Danio rerio: one gene and its partner. The protein of the gene in region 1 binds, or shares a complex with, the protein of each later gene. Links are inferred from orthologs where the notes say so. Each region holds a gene or a part of one and is shown on either strand. Other genes may lie near its edges.

Evidence for each region.
Region 2: ints7 (region 1) and ints12 share a complex: the UniProt entries of both Homo sapiens proteins name them as parts of the integrator complex. The link is inferred for Danio rerio from reciprocal best matches to the Homo sapiens genes INTS7 and INTS12.

The regions. Positions count from the first base shown.
Region 1 is NC_133195.1:14,300,080-14,303,734, forward strand, and holds part of ints7 (integrator complex subunit 7), read right to left. Parts: coding exon 3,644-3,655; intron 3,503-3,643; coding exon 3,370-3,502; intron 3,248-3,369; coding exon 3,149-3,247; intron 1,230-3,148; coding exon 1,044-1,229; intron 1-1,043. UniProt on the Homo sapiens protein: Component of the integrator complex, a multiprotein complex that terminates RNA polymerase II (Pol II) transcription in the promoter-proximal region of genes.
Region 2 is NC_133176.1:28,088,431-28,092,556, forward strand, and holds the start of ints12 (integrator complex subunit 12), read right to left. Parts: upstream 2,945-4,126; 5' UTR 2,641-2,944; coding exon 2,485-2,640; intron 2,401-2,484; coding exon 2,239-2,400; intron 2,145-2,238; coding exon 1,960-2,144; intron 1,566-1,959; coding exon 1,406-1,565; intron 1,322-1,405; coding exon 1,169-1,321; intron 1-1,168. UniProt on the Homo sapiens protein: Component of the integrator complex, a multiprotein complex that terminates RNA polymerase II (Pol II) transcription in the promoter-proximal region of genes.

The DNA of each region.
Region 1 (3,655 bases):
AGCTCTTATAGTAACCAAGGAAACAGTGGCTAAACACTTGTAGTATTATACACAACTGAAAGCAAGTTTAAATGTCCTACAACTTTACACAAACAGCTGAAAACAAGTCCTCAAACCATACACAACAACTGAAACAAGTCTTAAATGTACTTACAGGCTGCTGGTCTCGATGTTAAAGTGAGAAAATAAAGTGTATTAAATATCATGTTTAGCAAATATAGTGAGATTAGATCCAGCGGTAGCCTAGATCCTTGATAAACAGTTTGACGAGCACAGCTCTCATCTGGGTGGATATGCTGCAGCGCATGCCAATGTGTGTGTGTGTGTGTGTGTGTGTGTGTGGTCACCTGATGTGCGTTTTCAGTGGTTTGGTGTAGACGAAGAGCTGTTCAGAAACGCTGGGTGAAACGCTACTGTGGATTGTTTTTATTCTAAAACGTTGTTTTAAAACTAAAACGCACTAGTGTAAACGGGGCTAAATGTAAATGTAGGTGTGAACAGACCTTATAAGGTGTTTGTTTACGGGAGTGAACTCTATTCTAAACTCCCCAAACAAAGTATTAAATGCTTCTTAAAACGGAAGCTGCTATCATTATTTTTTTCAGATTGTGATGAATTTCCTTGAAAAATTGAATGTTAAATGAGAAAACAGTGGGTGTGGCTTGTTTTTTTCTACTGTGAGCTGATTGGGAGTAGTAAAGTAGGCATTTCATTAAGGAAGATGGGGGAAAAAGTTTGGGAAGAATTATTACATTCTAACAGACACCTCCTGCTCACCATTTCTGTTTGTTGCCACTCTCATTACCTCAAAATCACGTAAACTTTTAATATAACAAAAAACAAACAGAAAGTGCATTTCAGATTTCAATTAATGATTAGAAGGACAAACTATTTCTTTTTTTCTTAATCATCTAAATCTTTTCTTCTCTTTAATTTGGCTTGATTTTATTTGCAATAAAATGTAATTGAGATTGAAATAGACCATCAGGAACAAACATAAGAAATAAAATGAGTGTAAGTATTGTACTCTGTGTTGAGCTCACCTTGAAGTCTGATCCTGGTTTTGTCTGTAACGTCGAGCTGACTTTAAGACAGACTGCCTGAATCTTCCGGAAGAGTCCCGGACTGGAGCCGTGCTGAATAACACCCTCCACTTTTAAGGTCAGCTGCTGGTTGTTCTGCACTGGGATCGGCTCATTGGGTGTGCGGGGAGATGGAGAGAGAGCAAGCTAGAAGAAGAAAAAAAAACATGTATAGTTTTTATAAACGTAACTCCTCTTTCAGACAGTTTGAAACTCTTGAAACTAAAGCTAAGAATTAGACACAAAAGATGTTTTACATGACTTTCCATGATAACAATAGATACAAGTGTTCGAATCTTTAGTACATAAACAACTGACTTTATTTTATTACTAGAATTTTAATAACTATTATCTCAGTGTTAAAACTTTGACATTTACTTTTTTTTAAAATAAATATGCTTATTTTAGATATTTGGAAACAATTTACAATAACGCTCGGCTAGTTAATGTACAGGTAACACTTTAGTTTGTCTAACAATTCACACTATTAACTACTGGCTTAGTACCTGCATATTAATTAGATATTGGCTTAATTAGTACTTCTAAAATATGATCTTAATCTAAATCTCTAATTCTTAACTCAATTACTACTATACTTTTAATAATAAGCAGCAAATAAGTAGTTTATTGAGGAAAAGGTTAGGGCTGCACAATATTAGAAAAATCTGATCTTGCAATATTATATTTTTCTGCAACAATATATTGCGATATGGATACAGTATCACAAAATGGTTTAAATAACTCTATTTTATGGTTTCCTTGAAGTCTAACACTATTTAGGTACAACAATTTAATAATCACAAAGCAAATAATCCTTATACGTTGCTTTGTCTCATTTTTAGTCCAAATATCTAAAAGTTCTTAGGTCAAGAAAAAATATTGTTTTGTTTTCGACTTCAGACGAAATAAATCAAAAATAATTTTTTTTTCCTTAAAACAAGCAAAATGATCTGCCAAAGGGGTAAGTAAATTAATCTTGCTAATGTTGCTTTGCAATGTACATATTTGGACTGGAAACAGGACAACAATAATATAAGATTTTAAATTTTTTTTGCTTAAATCGTGTAAATTCTGTATTCATAATTAAATGCACCTCCAAAAGTCTTAATTTTTTCTGTCCAAATGTTCTGTCCAACTCTTCTGAAATACTTACTCACAGGCCTTAAAAACACATGCAAATGATAAACCTTCACTATATTATAGTTAAACTTCAAATCATGTGTTCTGTAGCCCCGGGTCAAGTATAATTCAGACTCAACATTGCATATCTTGGAATATTTGATATTTGGAATTAATTTACAATAACTGCTAGTTAATGAACAATTTAGACTCCACATACATATAATTTATTCATTTACTTTTAGGCTTAGTCCCTTTATTAATCTGGGGGGACCACAGCGGAATGAACCACCAACTTATCCAGCATATGTTTTACGCAGCGGATGCCCTTCCAGCTGCAACACATCACTGGGAAACATTCATACACACTCACTTACATACACCACAGACAATTTTTAGCTTATCCAATTCACCTATAAGCAGTAAGCACGTCTTTGGACTTGTGGGGGAAACCGGAGCACCCAGAGGACACCCATGCAAAACACGGGAAGAACATGCAAATTCCACACACAAATGCCAACTGACCCAGCCGGGGTTCAAACCAGCCACCTTCTTGCTGTGAGGTGATAGTGCTACTCACTGCACCACCATGAGGCCCAACAACGTGAGTTAGTTAAGAAGAACTAACAAATAAACAAATGAATTTATAACTAAAGTAAAATAGATGAATACAGTAATAAATGTAATGTTTATGTAACAAATACATTATTATTTTAACCTTATTAAAAAAAAAAATCAATTTTTTAATATAAAAAGAAAAAATTTGTATGTTTTATATATTTGTATGTGTATGTATATATTTATAACTGCATTCTATATAAGTATATTGCGTAAAAAAAAGAGTAAAGACTAAAGTTAAGGTTGAGACTAAATAAAATTGAAACTAGAGTGTAAACATTATTAATATTCTTTTTTTTTTTTTAAACAACATTGTACAGGTCACTCACTTTAATGCTGGTGGACTGAAGCTTCTGAAAGAAATATCTCTGGAACGACAGTGGTATTTTCAGGATGGCTATGACAGTATCACACAGACAGCCGGTGTGCTTAAAACAGACCGAAATGACAAATTTAGAAAATTACTATGTAATTAAATCCATGAAAAGTGACTCCAGACATATTGCAGTCAGTATAAGTTGGCTGATGGATACTCTTAGAAACGCAGTACCAGGTAAGAAACAGGAGGGTGTTTCCTGCTTAGATTTTCCACTTCCTCCAGGACATGATTGAACACAGCCATCATTCTCAGCTCATACTCGCTCTCTGCCAGAATTGATCCATGAGTGCCAAACTCCTGGAAACTGAACCGGATGTTGTCTTTAAAATGTGCACTTTTTGAGACATTACAACTAAAATCTATTATACAATTCATTTAAGGCCAGAAACTAAGATCCTATTTTCTTATTTGAATTTGATGTGGGATAGTAGCATAGCATTTTTACCTGGCTGTTTGT
Region 2 (4,126 bases), on another chromosome or scaffold:
TTTTTCCGCGCTCCACTCCCGCGTTTGTCCTTTTCTTTCTGAATGTGTCACTCTCGCGTTTGTCAGCTTCTCACAGGATCGGGTTTCCAAAGCTTGTCAATAATCAAGCGCATGTTATTATTATCAGCTAAAGAAGTTAGTTATTTCAGATAACGCGCGTCGAGCGCAAGGAAAAAAAGTGAAACCACTCAGGCTTCAGACTGGCTCGTAAAAAAACTACGCGGCACAGGGTAAATCTGCTCTTCTCCATGGCTTTGTGGCTGTTTAACAAGACGGCGACAGGGTTTGTTTGAGCCCGGATCGACTATGGCTGCATATGTAGATATAATTTTGTGTAATCTCTCGCTGTGTATTTTAAACATGGCAGGTCCTTTGTTTACATTCTGGCTTGTTGAGTCTACAAATGACGTATCTCTATTAACCAATAGCATTCAGCTGCGCATGTAGCTCCACCTTTTGGGACCCTTTCTGCAGTTTGTGACCCTTTCGAAAGGGTGCCGAAAAAGTGGTACGGTACGGTTTGGTTCGGTATGCCTTTTGACAGTGGAAATGGCCATAAAAGCGTACCAAAACGAACCGTACCGTACCACTCAGTGGAAACGGGCCATAACAGTGCCTGGGGTTTAAATGGTCTTTCGCCTGTTTTTACGCTTTTATAAAAATAAGTTTTAAAAAAATGTAAATTTGTGTAGACTTGGTGTTTTAGACATGAATAGACTTGAACTTGTTTCGGTTTGCCATTGCACAGGGCTAAAGCGACACCAAAATACTTTTTTGTTCAAACCTTAATATTGTTCATGTTTATAAGTGTGTTCTCCAGAAGTACATAATAAGCTTAGAAATTTGAGATGTGTGTAATTTATTTGATTTAACTCAACTATTAGATTTAGTTAAATAAATCTACAGTAGAATATAGATACTACTAGTAATATGACTAGTAATACTAAATTTGATTTTAATCAAAAGACTAGGAATAAAAATGTAATCAAAATATGCTGTTAAAGTGAACAATGTGAAGAAAACAACAAAATGAAAAGAATGGATCTAGATAAGTCTGAACACATTATAACCTAAGATAATACCAGGTGAAAATGACCTTCTGCTGACCACTTGTGATCAGATCATTGAAAAGAAGTTAATATTGCTATGCTGCTGTGAATACACTTACCTTTACTTCTGTTCTCTTAAAGGCCTGGAATGAACCTGTCGTTTCAGGTTTTGGCTTTAGTTCAGCTTTCTTGACTAGCGGATCTTTCAACAAAGGTACTGTTGTTGCCAAAGCAGGAGCTGGCTTTTGTGGTGGTTTCTGAGTCTTTTGGGCCTGAGATATTAAAAACACATAACAGTTAATATTTCATTATTATTTCAGTGATACGCATAAAATTCATTGTCATACACTTCCCACCATTCGTTTCATTTGCCTGGTGCACCGAGCACAGTACCACACCAGTCGCGGGTCATTCACATCCTTGTCAGTAACCTGAGGTTTGTGACACTCTTGATGATAAAGATTATGACATTCTTGACACTCCACAAGCTGATTCCCAGAAGTGACGGTCATTTGTCTGAGAGAGGAGAAATATAGATACATTTCGAATTAAAATGGCCGAAAATAAATTAAAGATTCAGAGAACATCAACGACATCAGTGTAATGACACAAAAAAAAAAATCCAAAAAAGTTTATCTAACACTCACAAATAACATCAAAAAATAAATTATCATTTACTCATGCTTTACTTGCTCTAAACCTTTAGTTGAAGTATCTTTCTTCTGATAAACATAAAGAAAGATACTGATGAATATTGAACAAACAAATGAATACAGATTTTTATGAGTAAATTAATGCCTGTTAGTAAACAACAATAGTTGTGTGTTTTTGTAACTTTTAACACACTCACATTCCCACTACATATAGCTACTTATTCGAAGAAAACTCCATCAGAAGTGGCATCACTCACCGACAAACCACACAAGCAAGACCCATTTCCATGGCAAAGTCATCAGCGTTGGTTTCATCAATATCTGTGAAATCTGGAATGGGAATGTCCTTGGTTTGAAAAGCAATCGGAGAGGAATGACTGTCCTGCTTCTCTAAACGAGGTTTCTTAGGCGGCTCCACTCCTTCTCCAGGATCAACCCTAATCTTTAAATCATACAAATATTCAAAAGTGAATTATGCTGAGAATTTCCAGTCATGTCACATTTACAATCATAAATGAATATTAGTGCAAACTGACTTTTTCCAAAGTTCTTTTCTCGCTCTCTTTCTTGGACTTCTCTGAGGTGCTTGATTTACTGCTGCTGGTGGTGGTGATGGATGATGACGCTGAGGAACTTGAGGAGGATTTGGAGTCTTGTTTTGTCATTTTTGGCAATGACACTTTGCTCACTTCAGCTTCCTATTCAATGGATAACGAGTTAAATATTTTTTTTAAAATCTACTAATAAAAAACAAAAAAATAATACCTTCTTGATTTGATCACCTTAATTGAATTCCTATAGATGGAGTCACTGCCTCTGGCTAAAGACTCATCTAGCAGGGCCTTGAGTTTCTCTGCCGAGTCTTTGCTCTTGGAGTGAAGATACCCCAGTCCCTTCAGAAAGATAGGGTCTAACTCTAGACTTACTGTCCCAGCCATTGTTTAGCGATTATTATCTAATTTAACATAAGAAAATGACCCGGCCCTCTACTTATGGAGTTTACGATGTTATATTCTCGGATAACACTAGAAAAGCTTCATTTCAGACTCTACAATATCTAGTCTTTCTGAGCTAACAAAAGCAACATGAACTTACTGACACCGGATTGTGCTCAAGCTTTTGTTTAAGGAACGTTTTTATAAACCGTAAAAAAAAAACAAGATATTATCCTTAGCAGAAATTAACTAACTTAGCAATGCTTGAAATGATCCGACTATAGTATCGAATTAAAATAGAGCAAGTAGAAAGAAAGCGCTTGAAAAGTATGGGGACCTCAATAGGGCGTGGCTTAGTGGCCATGAGGTTGTCTCTAATTGGTCGGATGAATCTGTTTTCTGTTTTTGTGCTAATTTACATTTTAATTTATCTCTCTTTGGCATGTTTTAAAAATTGTTTGTAAAAACAATATTTATTTTAAAAAGTGTCCTATTTAAACTATTGCTCACATAAAAGATGAAGCAACACGCCAACGGTTTTGTCACGTGATAGTTGTTGTTTTTCTTACTGCTTGTCAGTTCTTATTGTTAGATTAAAAATAACCTGTTGGTGAGAATTATGTACCAAATTATTAGAAATTAATGGACTTGCCTTAGACACATGTTTTCTATTTACTAACATTTGTAAATTTCTTAAATTTCTCTGCAGGATTTTGATGGCTTGATAGCGCTTTGCATTCTGAGCCACCAAGTGCCCCCTACTGGATAACTGGTGATCATAATGATGTTTGCCGACTGTTCTTTTATTTCTTTCTAATGACGCTTTTGTGTTTCTACTAAATCATACCGACATAAGCGCTTCGTTTCCGCCGTCATTTTCACCAACAGCACCTCGACATGAAATTTCAGCCTGCAAATTATTTTAAAAATATCACTATGTATTAATATATTAAAATCATCAGGAATGCGAGCTTATCAACCAGCTTAAAAATCATATCAGCCGGACACTAATAAATGTAACACAAGGAAATGCTACGTAGTGCGTAAAATTGAAATATCCTTGACCAAATAGGTAAATAACGTCTCGTAACAAACTCTCAAAACCTTATTGTTCTATAACCATCCAAGACCATTTATTGTGCGAATTTAACGGCATATCTTGCCCGTTATGGCGTTGTTGACAGGGGTCAAAAGAATGCGTTGTAGGAGCGTCATAATTGTGTTGTCGAGTGTAAGAAGCTGATTGGCTGTTCTGGTGTGACGGGGGTTCTTGTCCCAGATCGCAGGGGTTAGACAATAAGAATCCAAACAGCAGCATTTACAATAATAACACCGCATAGATGCTATTTCTATCTCTCTGTGGTTTCAAGTAGCTGGCGCTGTCACTAAAACAGCTGTTCTAAATATATCAGACGAATCGAATAATTTTTCAGAATTATTCAGTCACTTAGACCAATCAAATACATCCCAGAAAAAAGGTAAGTGCCAC